Arabidopsis thaliana: one gene and its partners. The protein of the gene in region 4 purifies or fractionates together with the protein of the main gene of each other region. This does not show direct contact. Each region holds a gene or a part of one and is shown on either strand. Other genes may lie near its edges. The genes, in order: AT2G12280, THFS, AT2G12200 and GLYR2.

Evidence for each region.
Region 1: the proteins of GLYR2 (region 4) and AT2G12280 fractionate together in Arabidopsis thaliana (co-fractionation; one large-scale study listed by BioGRID). This does not show direct contact.
Region 2: the proteins of GLYR2 (region 4) and THFS fractionate together in Arabidopsis thaliana (co-fractionation; one large-scale study listed by BioGRID). This does not show direct contact.
Region 3: the proteins of GLYR2 (region 4) and AT2G12200 fractionate together in Arabidopsis thaliana (co-fractionation; one large-scale study listed by BioGRID). This does not show direct contact.

The regions. Positions count from the first base shown.
Region 1 is NC_003071.7:4,919,974-4,923,380, reverse strand, and holds AT2G12280 (P-loop containing nucleoside triphosphate hydrolases superfamily protein), read right to left. Parts: upstream 1,100-3,407; 5' UTR 1,058-1,099; coding exon 785-1,057; 3' UTR 702-784; downstream 1-701.
Region 2 is NC_003070.9:18,699,918-18,705,809, reverse strand, and holds THFS (10-formyltetrahydrofolate synthetase), read right to left. Parts: upstream 3,929-5,892; 5' UTR 3,747-3,928; coding exon 3,591-3,746; intron 3,166-3,590; coding exon 3,016-3,165; intron 2,922-3,015; coding exon 1,746-2,921; intron 1,647-1,745; coding exon 1,500-1,646; intron 1,399-1,499; coding exon 1,123-1,398; 3' UTR 872-1,122; downstream 1-871. Other genes in the region: UBC20 (ubiquitin-conjugating enzyme 20), read left to right, coding at 15-42, 129-356, 451-514, 600-659, 759-805; AT1G50470 (F-box associated ubiquitination effector family protein), read left to right, coding at 5,366-5,438, 5,518-5,810.
Region 3 is NC_003071.7:4,898,396-4,901,716, reverse strand, and holds AT2G12200 (P-loop containing nucleoside triphosphate hydrolases superfamily protein), read right to left. Parts: upstream 1,105-3,321; 5' UTR 1,067-1,104; coding exon 902-1,066; intron 800-901; coding exon 773-799; downstream 1-772.
Region 4 is NC_003070.9:6,068,742-6,074,314, forward strand, and holds GLYR2 (glyoxylate reductase 2), read right to left. Parts: upstream 3,389-5,573; 5' UTR 3,224-3,388; coding exon 3,040-3,223; intron 2,945-3,039; exon of another isoform or gene 2,848-2,944; coding exon of another isoform or gene 2,841-2,847; coding exon 2,759-2,840; intron 2,642-2,758; coding exon 2,576-2,641; intron 2,463-2,575; coding exon 2,387-2,462; intron 2,300-2,386; coding exon 2,244-2,299; intron 2,057-2,243; coding exon 1,972-2,056; intron 1,879-1,971; coding exon 1,818-1,878; intron 1,656-1,817; coding exon 1,603-1,655; intron 1,515-1,602; coding exon 1,444-1,514; intron 1,362-1,443; coding exon 1,289-1,361; intron 1,213-1,288; coding exon 1,108-1,212; intron 1,018-1,107; coding exon 853-1,017; 3' UTR 683-852; downstream 1-682. Other genes in the region: AT1G17640 (RNA-binding (RRM/RBD/RNP motifs) family protein), read right to left, coding at 1-29, 161-357; AT1G17665 (CA-responsive protein), read right to left, coding at 3,691-3,727, 3,894-4,021, 4,262-4,360, 4,440-4,527, 4,729-4,781, 5,132-5,573. UniProt on the Arabidopsis thaliana protein: Catalyzes the NADPH-dependent reduction of glyoxylate to glycolate as well as succinic semialdehyde (SSA) to gamma-hydroxybutyrate in vitro.

The DNA of each region.
Region 1 (3,407 bases), on a different chromosome or scaffold from region 4:
TTATTACCTTACAACTTTAGATTTTTCAAAAATATACTTTTGGGTGTATATTTGTCAAAACTTTTTAAAGATAGTTTGAATAAACAATATTATTTAAAATGGGAAAGTTAGGATACTTTACATTTATGTTAATTATTTTTTCAGGCAAAAGTGTTGTGGATGTCGGATTCACACGCTCAAGTATTTATTTGTTTTGTGAGATGGATTAATTTTTGAGGACAAAGATAAAATGTAAAAGCTAAAAATTGATATCAAAATGACTATCGAAAATTGCTAGAAAAATTGTGGGTGTCTTACATGGTCCAAGACCTCTCTTATTTATACAAAAACCTAGTAATTATTCTTAATTATACACCATAATTCTCTTTTAACTCTTCCGTTTCCGTCTTTGGATTTAATGCTTTCAACGTTCGAATTTGAATTGACTTTAATCTTCCATGGGCCTTACTATTCGGCCCACAATACGTGAATCGAGATGCCCTCATTTCGGCATGGCATCCAATTTGTGCCTCTCAGTGCATGATTTCTGCAAGATGTTCTGATTCATAAATCTCCAATGCCTCTGATGATTTCACATAAAACGATTTTTCAAAAGAAAACATTGTCACTCATTTGCTTTATGCTTTGTTTTTGAACATCACAAGTTCTATGTGTAACGTTACCTTGAGTTCAACTTCAAATAATGAGTATTTCAGAGATTAATTAATCAACAGGAAAAGATACTTTATTATTATTCATTTCAAAGAGGAAAAACACTCAGTATCAAAGTACAATCGCCAAATTTTTATTGAGGAAGTGAGGAACGACGGTGAAGGGAAGCCTTGAAGCTTTGACTGATATCAATCTCATAGAAACAAGGTCTTGTAGGAAGTCCAGGCATTGTACTCATTGTACCAACCAGTGGATATATGAAACCAGCTCCAATGCTTCCTCTAACATCCCGAATTGGCAATACAAACCCTGAAGGTGCTCCTTTCTTTGATGCATCATGTGAGAATGAGTACTGCGTTTTCGACATGCATATGGGAAGATTCGAGAAGCCTTGTTGTGTGTACATCTCAATCTGTTTATGTGCCTGTATGAGCAATTTTCAATCTAAAACATGTTAATAATAAATCTTATAAGTAATTTTCAATAATATTTTAGTAAAGAAAACTATCAAAGGTCTCTTTGGAATGGTGTATGTTTGAATTAAAAAGAAAACAACAAACAGTAATTATTATGTGGATATTTAAGGGGAACTAAAAATAATAATATAGTCCTCCCCAAGTCCTTTAAATTTTCTTGAGAGGAGTCACAATTGAGCCATGTTCAGAAGATATATGTTTTAGAACACCAAGAAAAATGTCTTTAAACACTAAGATGTCAGTTTAATGGATCGTGAAAGTCTTTGGACCCTACGACTGGTTTATGATGAACTTGTTTGTAGGGAGATGCGATTTTGACTCAACTCAGGTCTAAGTATCATCCGGAAAGCTCATCCCCCTTTAATTTGAAGATGAAAGTCTTAATATGAGTTATGAAAAAAAAACTTTTGAAAAAGATATATTGGCAAGTGTTTTAAATAAAGTGCATAGTCAATCTTAATGGTAAATTTTCTTAGAGAATGGCTTCTTTCTTCGATCTCTTTGACTAATGTGGTGCTTCAAGTTTTCTTCCCTAGTTCTCGCTTCCTAGTATTCTTCATTTTTGTAATTTAAAATTTTCATTACTTAGTCCGGTTTTTAAGAATTATTTTCTATAATGTTTAATTTGTAAACAGTGCCGGTTTAAATAGAGGGGTAAGCGGTGCGACAGCCAAGAATCCAAACCCATGTTTTAACAATTAAGGGACATATATTTTTTTAAAAATATTTTTAAAAATTAGATATAACACAAAAATAAAATTTAGAATGGACCTATAATTTTTTTAATGCATTGTTTTTTTTTTTGTTAACTAAATTATCATACAAAAAATTTTATAACAAAATATAAAAAAAAATTATCCTACACCCATGAAATTGTTGAGCGGACATTGTTTGTAAACATATGTACGAAAATGGGTTTTAGCTAATGCGGGGGTAAAAAAATCTTGTCAAATATTTAGAGAAAAATACTGTTTTATAAATAAAAAATACTGGTTGACATCGTTTAAAATTTTGAAAACTTCTCGATTTCAAAGTTTCATCAAAGACAATACTTAGCTTTTTGGGTTAAAGTCTTCATATGTCTTTCAAGAAAAGATCTTGAACTCATTAAAACAAAATAGAAGTGATAATAAAGTAAAGATTATAAATCTCAAATGACACACGTAAATTGATGATGTCATAAAAATCCATGATAGCTGTTGTTTTGTTTGTACTCTAGTAATGTAAATTGTAAAGCATAAAAGTAACTAAAATATCTTATGCCTTTCACACGTAGAGCCCAAAACCCTTCCGAGCTAAGTAATCTCGTGACTTGTGAGGCACAAAATTGTCTCACTTGATTTTCTCTCTAATTTTAGAATAGATTTTTATTTTCTAAAAAACTAAAAAACTTGATAATATTATGTGGACGAGTATATCTTATAATTTATAGGGTTATATCCAGATTTAAATCTGGATTAGGAACTGTAAAAGGCAAAAAAAAAAAAAATACATTAAAAACAAAATAAATACGTGGACAATAATAAATAAAATAACTCTCATTAGTGATGAATGCCCATCATGAAGCCGTGGAAGATTTCCAGGATTGGGAGCCATGTCGTTACTCCACGTACCATGGAGAGATGAAAACAAATAATGGAGTGAACAGAGACTATGTTCGTGAGGATGTGGCAGCGGATAGGGGCAAACACAAGAGAGAGGACACCATCGAAGAAGATGAAGAACACGAGCCTTCTAAGATGGTGATCCATGAGGCTGGGGAAAGCAGTGGTTGCTCCGGAGAGACGGTTCAGCCGAATGACGTGGGGAGAAGCGCGGTGGGCCCAGAACCCCCTCTTCCTCCATGAGGACAGCCGCTTGGAACTGTAGAGGACTGGGCAATGACCTCGCAGTTCGACGTCTAAAGGAGATAAAGAAGAAATTCTCTCCAGACATCATTGTTCTCATGGAAACGAAGTAAAAGAATGACATCGTCAGAGATATTTGCAGCGATGTAGGTTATGATAGGGTTGTAATGGTTCCTCCAAATGATCTAAGTGGTGGAATTGCTTTAATGTGGAAAAGTAGTATTTCTGTATTCTGTTCTTTATCAATCCCCAAACCTTGTAAATACTTTTGTTAATATTAATGGATTTGGGTTCTATTTATCTTGTGTATATGGTCACCCAAATCCTATCCATAGACACTTGGTTTGGGAAAGATTAGAACGAACAGCAACACAAAGAACAGGTCCTTGGATGGCTATAGGGGACTTCAATGAAATACGAGGCAACCATGAGA
Region 2 (5,892 bases), about 13 Mb from region 4:
TTGATTAAACGCAGACTGCAATCTGAATTGATGGGCTTGATGGTAAGTTATCATCTTTCTTCCTTTTTAGTGAACAAGTTTCTATAGTAAAGATTTGCTCATAGGGTTCTTGACTTGGTTGTTTTCAGATGGGCGGTGGTCCAGGAATATCGGCTTTCCCTGAGGAAGACAACATATTCTGCTGGAAAGGGACAATAACAGGAAGCAAAGATACTGTGTTTGAAGGAACTGAGTACAGACTCTCACTCTCTTTCTCCAATGACTATCCTTTCAAGCCTCCAAAGGTTAAGTTTGAGACATGTTGCTTCCACCCCAATGTTGATGTCTATGGCAATATCTGCTTAGACATTCTTCAGGTAAAAATATACCTTCCTCTTGTGTCTTTGTTCTACACTGAATCAGAGAAGACGTGCCAAAGTTAATCCGTTTACAACATTTTCATATTTGCAGGATAAGTGGTCATCTGCTTACGATGTGAGGACGATACTACTATCGATTCAGAGCCTCCTGGGAGGTATTCTATGGTGCATAACTTTTGATTTCTTGTTAGCCCTTTTTGTTGGTTAATCCAATATCTGATACATGTTTTCGTTGATCAGAACCGAACATCAGTTCACCATTGAACACTCAAGCAGCTCAGCTTTGGAGTAACCAAGAAGGTAAACAGACAGGGGATTTAACAGTCGTTATGAAATCAAACTTCTTTAGAGTACCACAGTTATGAGTTTCTTATGTCTCTTTTGTTTCTCCATACGCAGAGTACAGGAAGATGGTTGAGAAGCTTTACAAGCCTCCAAGTGCATGATTTCTGCAAGCTGTTCTGATTCATAAATCTCCAATGCCTCTGATGATTTCACATAAAACGATTTTTCAGAAGAAAACACTGTCATTCATTTGCTTTATTCTTTGTTTTTGAACATCAGAAGTTCTATCTGTAACGTTACCTTGAGTTCAAATAATGAGTAGTATTTCAGAGATTAATCAAAAGGAAAAGATACTTTATTATTATTCATCTTAAAATGGAAAAACACTCAGTATCAAAGTACAATCGCCAAATTTTTATTGTGGAAGTGAGAAACGACGATGAAGGAAAGCCTTGAAGCTTTGACAGATCTACCAAACTTAAGAAAGGCCACGAACTTTTCCAGTTTCAGTGTCAATATCAATCTCGTAGAAACAAGGTCTTGTAGGAAGTCCAGGCATTGTACTCATTGTACCAACCAGTGGATATATGAAACCAGCTCCAATGCTTCCTCTTACATCCCTAATTGGCAATACAAACCCTGAAGGTGCTCCTTTCTTTGATGCATCATGTGAGAATGAGTACTGTGTTTTCGACATGCATATGGGAAGATTCGAGAAGCCTTGTTGTGTGTACATCTCAATCTGTTTCTCTGCCTGTATTTTACATATCACAGGATAATAGATAAGTTACATAAACAGGTTTCTTTTGACAACAATGCAAAGAAATTGAAGAAGTCGGTCTAGGAATCAATCACCTGGTCTGAATATTCAACACCACTGGCTCCATATGACTTAGCTATTGCCTCAATTTTGTCTTTGATACCAATGTCCAATGGGTAGAGAAACCTGAGGGGCTGTGTAATGTTTTGACAAGCTTTTTCAACCGCGATACCAAGATCCACCTATAACATTTACAAGAACAATTCATCTATCAATAAGATGAGATTGCAAACAAAATTGCATATAATCACATAGTGTTGGTCTCGAATAGAGAAGATTACCGCTCCTTTACCACTATGAGCATGGTGGGAGCAGACCACAGCATCAAAAGCACCGGCATCCATTGAAAATTTCCTAACTGCATTTAGTTCTGCTTCGGTATCTGTTGCGAACATATTCACAGCAACAATTACATTCACACCGTAGGCCTTTGTGTTTGAGATGTGCTTTGCCAGATTCACACAGCCAGCTTCAACTAAGGAAACATTCTCGCTTACATAAGCACGATCAAGAGGTCTCCCGGCAACAACATCAGGCCCACCTCCATGCATTTTCAAAGCCCTAACAGTCGCCACAACAATTGCACACTGAGGCGTTAGCCCACTGTAACGGCACTTAATATTCATGAACTTCTCTGTTCCAATATCAGAACCAAAACCCGCTTCAGTTACCACAAATCCACCAGGTCCCACCAGCTTCAAAGCGATTTTATCAGCAACAATCGATGAATTTCCATGAGCTATATTTGCAAAAGGACCAGCATGCACTAGAACAGGGGTCCCTTCCAGTGTCTGCATGAGTGTCGGGTTAATAGCGTCTTTCATCAGAACAGTCAAGGCTCCTCCAACACCGAGATCATCTGCTGTTATCGGATCCCCTGCCTTGCTGTTACCAATCACCATTTTACCAAGCCTCTCTCTCATATCACCTAGTGAGGTTGTCAAAGCCAAAACAGCCATAATCTCACTAGCAACAGAAATGTCAAAACCAGTTTCTCTAGTCATCCCCTTTTCCTCAGGTCCCTGACCAATAGTAATCTTCCTCAAGAACCGATCATTAACATCCATCACTCTTCTCCAAGTGATAGAAGCAGGATCAATATCAAGCCTCGCAAACTTCTTTATCTCCTCGGGAGTAAGCTCCTCAGGACTGGTCTTGGATATCCCAAGCTTTGTCAATCTCCTGAACATAATGTCACTGAAACTACGCTTCCCTTCTTTATTCGGAGGGCACAGCCTATTAAAAAGAGCCTTGTCGGATTGAGACGTCTCATGGAAAATCCGAGTGTCGATTGCAGCAGCTAAGAGGTTGTTGGAAGCGGTAATCGCGTGAATATCTCCAGTGAGATGAAGATTGAACTCATCCATAGGAATCACCTGACTATACCCACCACCAGCTGCACCTCCTTTGATTCCAAAGGTGGGTCCTTGTGACGGTTGGCGAAGACAAGTAACAACCTAAGCAACAACACTTCACAAATCAATACAAAGAGAGAAGTTTGTCCAAAAGCAAGCATAAGGCATAAGCTAATAAATGAAAGCAAGAGAGAACCTTCTTATCGAGGTAAGCGCCTAAGGCTTGGCAAAGTCCAACAGTGGTAGTACTCTTGCCTTCTCCAAGAGGAGTAGGAGTAATCCCTCCAACAACAACATAGTATCCATCTTCTTGTCCTTGAAGCTCATCAAACGCAGACAACAAAACCTACAAGAACAAATCATCAGTTGATTAGCTCAGAACACTGAACCATTGGTTTAACCAGCTTCTGATGTTTTTGGTGAAACTAAAGTATCAATCTTGCCCACCGACAAAAAAGAAGTAACAGCAAATTAACAAGAAAAGAGAGCTACTTGGTAGGAAAATGGTAATATGAATCCAAAATCAATCGAAAGTTATAAACTTTGAGCTTACGTAACTGCCTACTCAAGCTCCAAAAACTCAATCATTAACAATCTCTTGAAAATTTATTTAAGTTTGATCGAAACCAATTCGAACATAATAGTATCTTATAACCAAAAACGGAGTTCTTTTGGATCCTTGTACCGACAACAACATAGAGACAGAGGAAGATTCAGATGAATAATTTAATTTTCAAAGGGAAATGAACAAAAGGGAAAAATGATGATTACCTTAGCTTTATACTTGCCATAGAGATCGTAGTGAAGAGGGTTGATATTAAGATCTTTGGCAATCTCAGAGATGTGTAAAGGCTCGACGGAATTAGCTATGTCGATATCGGCGGGAACTGGTGAAACAACCTCAAGCTTTCTTGTTGATGAACTCATCGCACTCTCTGTCGAAGTCTGATCTCGCGTTGGAGGATGAGAAGATGGATGAGGGACTCTGATGAATTGATGATGTTTTATAAAACTTTAAAGCACATCCTAATATATTACAGTAAGTAGCAAATACATGTTTAGATCATTATCCATATTAACCAATGAGAACGATGACGTTTTTGTTTTTTTCCCTCTTTTTCACCTCTTAATAAATATATTTTCAACACACATAATTATTGAAGGCCAGAAAATGACGGTTTCGCCCTCGATCTATAAGCGCAGCCACTATAGTTTAGTTTGGCCCACTGTTGTCGTCAATTTAAACTAGTACTATACTAGAAAAGAGAATGGAACTCGGATTTGTTAGGCTACCAATTTTCTTTAATCTTTACATAATACTTCTTAAGACTGTACTATTAAATTTGTTATTTTTAATAAAATACTGTTGTTTTTGAACTATTCCAATACAGTTTCTATAGATTTACAGGAAGCCACATTTCTTTTCATTTAAACCATCATTTTCATTGCACCAATACTATTTTATTATACAACGATGATAGTTTTTGTCAACATGTATAATGTATTGGGGTGAACGGATTCCGAGGTGTCTTGATAAATGGTGCCAATTTTTCCTCTCGACAGATATGGTGTATAGAGTTTTAGACTTAGAATTGAAGAGGCACGAGAGGGTCAACTATTGATGAATCAGTAACCTTGAAGCAATATATATTTTAAGCAATCTATATAAAAGCCCTATGGAATATGTCTAGGACTAAGCCTTCTTTGCGTATCTTACATAGTGAAATCGATGTCATATTAGTCCATTAACATAAAATGGGCTTACAGCTTTAGCATTTTCTGACCCAAAATGAGGCAAAGAAACGACGTCATTTAATATAAAGTTATCCATCCATTTCCTAAAGAAGATAAAATGGATGCAACCAAAGAGAATCAGAATTTTGATTTAGGATGGGTTTGACATTCTTATTGTGTGATAGATAACGTAGTTTAAAAGCAATACAAATGTAGTAGATCAAGTTGAAACAGAAAAGAAAGAAGAACATAAAGAGAAGAAAATCCCAAATAACAATGATATGATGATGCTGCTGAGAATAATAAACAGAAAAGGGCTATTCCAAAGGAGGAGCTCGATGCTATCAATGATGCTGAAACCTTTTTTGCAGAAATCTTTTTCCGGGAAAGTGTGTCAAACACAAATTTAGGGAAAGTGGTAGGTTTAGTGAAAAGTGATATTGAGAAGAAGAAGAGAAGCAGCATGCAAGAGACAAGTTTAATGAAAGTGATAGATACCAAAACTTGTATGAGTTTGGTTGTATGAATACTTGTATTTGTATTGAAAGATATTGTCTTGCAAAAATTTGATTTTTTTTTTCTTGAGAACCTACCATTGGAGGACATTTTTGTTAAGATAGTTTCTTTGAACCTACCATTGTGGTTTGGGACCCATTCTAGAAGAAAACCATATGGATCCAACCGATAAATCGTCATGACAAGATATTCGAGGTCTATGCTCTCGGTTACAATAACAAGGACTTGTGCCATAACTACAAAATCTTGAGGTTTATAGATATATGCTTGGAAGTCTATGATTTTAGCTCTAATTTATGGAGGAGTTTCTTGATGTCGTCTCTCCCGAAGACGACTTAGTATCCACTGGCAAGTCGTTGAAGGGAAATGGTTACTCATTGCTCAGTTTTGTTTTTTTCAACAGAGAGGTTTCAACTACTATGTGTGCCCTTTCATCAAGAAGCTGCAGAAGTAAATGATATTAAGGCTCTCTCAGTTGTTAGAGAAGAACATCTCTCCTTATTATATCAGAGTGCAAAGAAACTAAAGATGGATATAAGGGTGACCAATGAGATTGAGACAGTGGATTTAAAACCCCATGGTTGTTTGTTTTCGAGTTCCCTAAGTTTCCACATTGACGAAGAGAAGAAAGTTGCTGTTTGCGGTGAGAAAGTCATATACAACAAGATATACATTGTTGGAGAAGATAAATACACAAGGTATATCGATCTTCTGGTTTCGGTAGCTTTGATGGTCGGTTAAGTGTGTTTACGTATGTTCAAAGATTGATTTAAATCCAACAATATGTAATATCCTGTTGGACATTGATCATTTTGTATATATT
Region 3 (3,321 bases), on a different chromosome or scaffold from region 4:
CATAAGTAAAGAACAGAACAATTGAATCTGTCGTGTGACTAACCTGTAGTCGTGTGAATAGAAGAAGAAAAGTTTCACTTCCTCGACATTGCAATCACCAACACTTGATAAAAAAAAACGATTATGAGTATAAGTTGAAGCAAAACGTTTAAGAACTCTAAATCAAATCACAAATCGATGCATATAAACCCCAAAACGATAATCAGTATAAGAAAAAAGAAAAGTTTCACTTCCTAATTCCATTCAAATCACATTGCCCTAAATATAACAAATCGATGCATATAAACCCCAAAATCAAATCGTCACAAAGAACTAGGTCAAATTGAGAGTAAGACATGCCTTGATTTTGAGCTCAGTGGTGGCTGCGACAAGGTTAGAGCTCACTGGTGGCTGCGACAAGGTTAGAGCTCACTGGTGGCTGCAAAATGAAAGTCGATTCTATGAGATTAGGTCAAAATGCGAGAAAGATGGAAGCTGAAATGGATTAATAAGGAATAAGGAAGAAAGACTAACCTTGAATTTGAGCTCAACGGTGGCTGAGCTGGAGAATGTGGCGGCGGAGAATCCGAATTTCTGGCCAGCGACAGATCTTAGCTTTTAGGTTGAATCGATTTTGGGAGTGGATTCGACAGATCTAAGGCAAAAGTGAATAATTTTGGTCTTCTCGATTTTCTTAGGTTTTCACGAAGCTGTAGAGGGAAGTGAATAGTTTTGCTTAAGTGTTGGCGCTGAAGTGAATAATTTTACCTAAGTGTTGGCGGACTAAAGTATTTTACATTCCCGCTAGAGGATTTACGGTCTTAGCGTTTATAAGGTGCTATTAAAAAGTAACCAAAAATTTTATTCATCTTTTATAGCAGTTGAGGAAAATGAGCTATCCTCTACTGCTATCAATGAGGACTTTTTTTGTAGTGTATATGAAACCAGCTCCAATGCTTCCTCTAACATCCCGAATTGGCAATACAAACCCTGAAGGTGCTCTTTTCTTTGATGTATCATGTGAGAATGAGTACTGCGTTTTCGACATGCATATGGGAAGATTCGAGAAGCCTTGTTGTGTGTACATCTCAATCTGTTTATGTGCCTGTATGAGCAATTTTCAATCTAAAACATGTTAATAATAAATCTTATAAGTAATTTTCAATAATATTTTAGTAAAGAAAACTATCAAAGGTCTCTTTGGAATGGTGTATGTTTGAATTAAAAAGAAAACAACAAACAGTAATTATTATGTGGATATTTAAGGGGAACTAAAAATAATAATATAGTCCTCCCCCAAGTCCTTTAAATTTTCTTGAGAGGAGTCACAATTGAGCCATGTTCAGAAGATATATGTTTTAGAACACCAAGAAAAATATCTTTGAACACTAAGATGTCAGTTTAATGGATCGTGAAAGTCTTTGGACCCTACGACTGGTTTATGATGAACTTGTTTGTAGGGAGATGCGATTTTGACTCAACTCAGGTCTAAGTATCATCCGGAAAGCTCATCCCCCTTTAATTTGAAGATGAAAGTCTTAATATGAGTTATGAAAAAAAAACTTTTGAAAAAGATATATTGGCAAGTGTTTTAAATAAAGTGCATAGTCAATCTTAATGGTAAATTTTCTTAGAGAATGGCTTCTTTCTTCGATCTCTTTGACTAATGTGGTGCTTCAAGTTTTCTTCCCTAGTTCTAGCTTCCTAGTATTCTTCGTTTTTGTAATTTAAAATTTTCATTACTTAGTCCGGTTTTTAAGAATTATTTTCTATAATGTTTAATTTGTAAACAGTGCCGGTTTAAATAGAGGGGCAAGCGGTGCGACAGCCAAGAATCCAAACCCATGTTTTAACAATTAAGGGACATATATTTTTTAAAAAATATTTTTAAAAATTAGATATAACACAAAAATAAAATTTAGAATGGACCTATAATTTTTTTAATGCATTTTTTTTTTTTTTGTTAACTAAATTATCATACAAAAAATTTTATAACAAAATATAAAAAAAAATTATCCTACACCCATGAAATTGTTGAGCGGACACTGTTTGTAAACATATGTACGAAAATGGGTTTTAGCTAATGCGGGGGTAAAAAAATCTTGTCAAATATTTAGAGAAAAATACTGTTTTATAAATAAAAAATACTGGTTGACATCGTTTAAAATTTTGAAAACTTCTCGATTTCAAAGTTTCATCAAAGACAATACTTAGCTTTTTGGGTTAAAGTCTTCATATGTCTTTCAAGAAAAGATCTTGAACTCATTAAAACAAAATAGAAGTGATAATAAAATAAAGATTATAAATCTCAAATGACACACGTAAATTGATGATGTCATAAAAATCCATGATAGCTGTTGTTTTGTTTGTACTCTAGTAATGTAAATTGTAAAGCATAAAAGTAACTAAAATATCTTATGCCTTTCACACGTAGAGCCCAAAACCCTTCCGAGCTAAGTAATCTCGTGACTTGTGAGGCACAAAATTATCTCACTTGATTTTCTCAAATTTTAGAATAGATTTTTATTTTCTAAAAAACTAAAAAACTTGATAATATTATGTGGACGAGTATATCTTATAATTTATAGGGTTATATCCAGATTTAAATCTGGATTAGGAACTGTAAAAGGCAAAAAAAAAAAAAAATACATTAAAAACAAAATAAATACGTGGACAATAATAAATAAAATAACTCTCATTAGTGATGAATGCCCATCATGAAGCCGTGGAAGATTTCCAGGATTGGGAGCCATGTCGTTACTCCACGTACCATGGAGAGATGGAAACAAATAATGGAGTGAACAGAGACTATGTTCGTGAGGATGTGGCAGCGGATAGGGGCAAACGCAAGAGAGAGGACACCATCGAAGAAGATGAAGAACACGAGCCTTCTAAGATGGTGATCCGTGAGGCTGGGGAAAGCAGTGGTTGCTCCGGAGAGACGGTTCAGCCGAATGACGTGGGGAGAGGCGCGGTGGGCCCAGAACCCCCTCTTCCTCCATGAGGACAGCCGCTTGGAACTGCAGAGGACTGGGCAATGACCTCGCAGTTCGACGTCTAAAGGAGATAAAGAAGAAATTCTCTCCAGACATCATTGTTCTCATGGAAACGAAGTAAAGGAATGACATCGTCAGAGATATTTGCAGCGATGTAGGTTATGATAGGGTTGTAATGGTTCCTCCAAATGGTCTAAGTGGTGGAATTGCTTTAATGTGGAAAAGTAGTATTTCTGTATTCTGTTCTTTATCAATCCCCAAACCTTGTAGATACTTTTGTTAATATTAATGGATTTGGGTTCTATTTATCTTGTGTATATGGTCACCCAAATCCTATCCATAGACA
Region 4 (5,573 bases):
CCCAAGAAACTCCACCTACGAACAGTTTCCTAACATAAACAAAGACAAAAGGCACCACAAGAAACCTCCCCATCAATATCTTAATAACCAGCTCCGCTGAGAAGAGATTAATATCAAAAGTAAATCCATACAAAAAGATAAAGCCTAAGAAACCACGAACCCAGGAGAAGACATGGACGAAGAAGAATGGCGATGGTCAACGGAATGCTTCATCTGAATCCCACCAGTATCAACGGCTGCACCACCGTTCCTCCGGTCATCAAAGGTCTCCACTTCAAAATCCGATTGTGGTAATTGTTCGTCGTGTACGTGATGATGGTAAGAGTCATCATAACCACGATCTGAGTTATAATCCATCGATCACTGCAGCTGAGTCAAAACAAAACCTTTTAATTTCTCCGTCTGTCTATGATGAAAACCCAAACTTAAAAAATGAATTTTTTTTCTCCAATTTCGATTACTTGATTCAAAGTTATGACATCAAACATTCAAAATTTCTTATCTTGGAAGAGAAAGAACCCTAACCAATATGGTTGAAGTGGAAACGGCAACGAGCTCAGGCGAGAATTTTAACACTTCAGGCACTGAAGAATTTTTTGAAACAAATGATTCGGTGTTATCAACTTATCATCGGAATATCCGAAACGGCGCCGTATTTATTGTAGTCAACGTTGGTCAAACACTTTTCTTTGTTGCTTTTGTCAACATCAGGAGATCAAAGGTTGACTTGTGTTTGACACTTTTAACTTGCTCTCATATAAAATTAACAATTATCAATTGACATGTTGTAAAGATGAAATTTTTCATACAACAGCAAAAAAAAACACATTTTCACATTGAACAAATCTTTAGCTAAGCTTCTCGGGATTTTGCAGCTTTTAGTGCTTCAATTACTGCAGAGAAATCTTCATCGCTCAACCCATAAGATTTTGCAACCTTGTAAAGCTCGTTCGCAGCGGCTGCAATCGGAGTAGATTGCGATACGGATTCCGCTAGTCCAAGTGCGAGTCTCATATCCTATAGACGGATAAAAGTCAATTACAGTCTCATCAAACTCCAGAGTCTTTGTGAGAATCTAAAAAAAGAAAGTAACACAATTACACAAACCTTCTGCTGATGCTTTAATGGAAAAGCCGTCGGGTACACTGACTTGATCATTGAAGGACCCTTTAGTGAGTACATTGGCGCATTGATAGCTCCCTGTGAGACAACCTGCAGAAAAAAATTTCCCGGGGTTTATAGCACATTTGGTAAGAAACTTTCTGCTGGACAATGGTGTTTTAGTTACCTCGACAAGTACATTTGGATCGAGTCCAACTTTCTGGCTTAGAAGTATTCCCTCCGCGAATGATGCCATCATACTGCATAGGTAAAGAGAAAAAGAGATCAGAAGAAGAATCTGGAATTTGCCAAGAAATGAAGCGATAGATGGTCAAATGATACCTTCCCATGATCATGTTGACGACAAGTTTCATTGCTGCTCCATTACCAACTTCACCCAAATAGAATTTTGACTGGATCATATAATGCAAACTAGTAACGAAAATGGTTCATTTGCAGAAGAAAAAAGAACTAAAAGCAAAACACAGGCAAAAGAGATACCTTTCCCATGATGTCTAAGAAAGGAGCAGCTTTTTCGTATAGCGGCTTGTCACCTAAAATGTCAAGTGCCAGATAGTCATAAATCTCCATTTCATTCATGATTCAACCATGTTAGAAAATACAGGCAAGTCACCCGCGAAGACAAAATAATCTGATATGCAAAAGTGATGATCGATTATTAATACAAGCTCAATGAGGAGTAAGCTGTTACGAACCTGCAGTGAGAAATATTAACTGCCCATCTTCGGCAGGCTTTTTGGAACCTGAAACTGGTGCCTATGAATATCAAAAATAGAAATGACTTAAGCCACCAGATCTGTTACAAGGTTTTTTAGTGATTCTAGATATAGATTAACTAAGAGCCTTTACCTCCAAGAACAAGGCTCCGGTATCCTTTATTTGCTTGCTGATTAGTATTGATGAGGCCACATCAACGGTTGAGACATCAACATACCTGCAGTAGCAAGGCAAGTCCCATTTTTACCAGAAAGTATCGACCACATTACTATATAGATTCGAAGAAGAAATTAAAAAAGAACGACTGTGAACTCTTCTGTAGTTACATAAGAAATACAGATATCTTGAAACATTTCAGCAATAGAACGTTATATCCAGCATAAGTCTCATGAAGGAGTAAGTACCCTTTTCCTGAACTAATCCCAAATATGGCTCCATTCTTTCCACATGCAACATCAATCTGACAGAAAGCAAAATACAGTTTTTGTTTTAATATGGAGTGAAAGTAGAAGAAAAAGAGACGCAAACAAAAGTGAGACATACGCACTGCACTTTCAGGATCAGCAAGCATTGCAAATGTGAGATCACAAGTTGCAGTCACTTCTTCAGGAGAAGACTTGTACCTGCAACAAAGGGAGATACTTTCTTAATCGTTAAATTTTTCTTCTACGTTAGCTCTAAAACCTCACTCGGAGTAAATAATATCATTCTTTATAAGAAGCATTGGAACTCTTACTTTGCTCCTAATCCAACGAGAGGATCACATTTGCTCTTAGTTCGATTCCATACAGTCACATCACACCTAACAACCAAGCCCCAGAAAGATCAACGTAAGTATCATCAATACATCAAAAAGAGGTAAAGTAGCAAAATTGATGTGAATTAGATTGTCTACACATAAAAATCAAAACTTTTTTACCCAGCTTTGATGAGGTTCTGTGCCATTGGAGAACCCATGATTCCCATACCCAGAAACCCAATGCTAACAGTTCCAAGTTCATCTGCCATACGAACCACAATTCCTCAGATAAGACTACCCCAAAAAGGATAAAGATAAGGAGATTATAGTATTCGATCATCTTTCTCGAAACTTGTGGGTTTTGTCCTAAAAAGAGAGCGACACTTCATAATTTAATCCATTTAAACGTAATTCATAGTTCTGGAAAACCAGTGTATGCATAATACAAAGCAAGAAATTACCTCTGGTAGAGGGAGTAGTAGATTGCAGGGAAGAGTAAACCCTGTAAGCGAGACAAATTTGAGGTTTTGAGAGAAAAGGGGAAATGGGTTTTGGCCTGAATCGAAGAGGGATGCGAGGACAGATAGAGCACAAAGCCATGGCTTTTGAAGAAGATGAAGCAAAAGATAATGAAACCAAAGGCATAGCCACTGGCCAGTGCGTTTGTTTAGTAGACTGTGGCCGAAATTCTCACATTTCGAGGCGGAAACTGACAGATTTTTACTGAGGAACAAAATCCACTGGCCGCGTTGCATATGCTTCGGTTTAAAGCTAATTCACAAGCAGATATAATTGTACCGGTCGGTTCAAGTGCATTTATCCCCCATGAGTCATGATGCTTGTGTTTGTATATTTTTATCAACAGTGTTTTTTCTCGAAAAAAGCCTCACTATGTACGATACTCATGCACGTTTGGACTTTGCTCAATTCAGATAAACCGAATCAGTTTGATTCAAACCGAACTGAAAAAATCGATTTGAAAACCGGGTAATGTGTTATATAGAAAACGCATCCCTATGGAGGAAACTCTCTATACACAGCACCAAAAATAGGAGAACATCAAAAAAGGATTCAGTTTTCCTGCTGAGCTCACGGCAGTTTCAATCACCAAATCATGTTCTGCAAGTTCGCAATCTTCCATTTTTATGCCTGAAAACCAACACAAGAGTGGAGAGTAAGATGGTTATAGAGGATAAGCAATATGAAGAAAGATTGCGGAAATACTCAAAAAGGCCTATACATGGAGCAAGATTCATATGAGCAAGTAATTTAGATTTACTAATAAGCTTGAGGAGAGATGGAGAGAAATGCTGACCAAAACGAGTCTTTCTTTTCCTGTTCCAATAGCTCTTCGAAGGAAATGTCTGAAAATTCATCATCTGGATTGTCTAACTCTGTGCTCGATTTGTCTTTGAGTTCCATGGAAGCGCTTATTTCAAGAACCTATAGTAGTATCATAAAGAGTATTAACGGCTTTAACTAGAGATAACCAAAAATCTCAAGGGAAGTCCCAATTATGCTAACAGAGTCCAATACAGGAGATAAGACTCTACTGGTTTATCAGACAGCAACAACAATCAGTAAGATTAATCTAGAATCAGAAACATCATTGAACAGATTTTTGAGGTTTTGGACACATAGGACACAATCTTTGGAAACAAGTGATTGAGTTTGGTTTTTAACCTTTTTGTATGCAGGTGAGAGTTTAAGCTGTTGCTGGAGCCAATTATATACAAGTGCATCTTCTTCTACTCTTTTTTGTTCCATCTCCAGCTTATAGATCTGATGACACACAAACAATTAACTTCAAAAGCAACAAACGGATAAAAATCAGACAATCAATTGATGAAGCTAAATTCACCTGTTGACGAAGTCGGTCAAAGGAAGATCTATCAGCCTTAAAGAGAAGGGCTTTTGTTATTGAAAACTTGCGCTTGATTACTTCTGACCTACAGTAGACACAATCAGGCTTAAATCAGTGTCACCGGAGAAGAAAAGGCTAACTCAGTAAAGCAACATGTCACACCATCAACATAACAAAGCATAGAACAGGAAGCAACTATTTGTAATTCCTGTGTCCTCAAAATGTAGGAAGAACTAAGAAAATGGATGAGAGTATATGATATTATGTTATGGTAGTGTTAACTTACTTGTGTTGTAGTTCATTTTTGGCTTCTATCAAACAATTAGCAAACTCCCCAACCTACAGAAGTGAAGAACCCAGAAAACATCAGAATCTAAAACTCAACTGGGCAGAATTTTATAGTAATCCAAAGTTTAGATTGAAGTAAATCATTCTGATATATCAAAAGGAAGCAAGCTTAGCTGATGATTAAGTATTGAAACCTCCCAACTCAAAAATCATTTAGTTTATCAACTGAGTTTAGTATAGGCTATTGAACAAACACCACAAAGGTATATAAACCACATAGAGGTTTTAGGATGCTAATTAAGGAAATCACAGGCTTAATAGACTTGGATTTATGTTTCAAATTCACGTTTTCCAATTTTGATTTCCATAAATAGTTAATAACCGAAGGTAAAGAAGGTGACCTGAGCTAGTGTCAATCCTTTGGCATTATTGCATTTAACAAGCTGATCGTATTGCTGCTTAATCTTCCTCTGCGTAGCACTGCTCGTCGATGTAAAAGGATATAAACAAACAAACTCCGGTTTGTTTTCCGATATCGAAATCGAGTCTGTCCTCGGATTCAAAACAAGCCCATCTTCTCCCTCACCGAGCTGCTTTTCGCCGCCGGATTCATCTCCTCTTATGTCTGATTTCTTCTTCTTACCTCGATTCTTCTTCTTCTTCTTCTTCTTTTTCACATGATCTCCTTCCCAATCCGAATCATCCTCCTTCTTATCGGAGAGCAGTAACTCATAGAGTCGCGAATTCGTCAAATGGGTCGGTTCATTTTCATGGGTTTGGTACTGGGCTTCGTCGGAAATCTCCGATAGAGACGATTCTGGTTGGAGTTTGGTTTCGGATTCG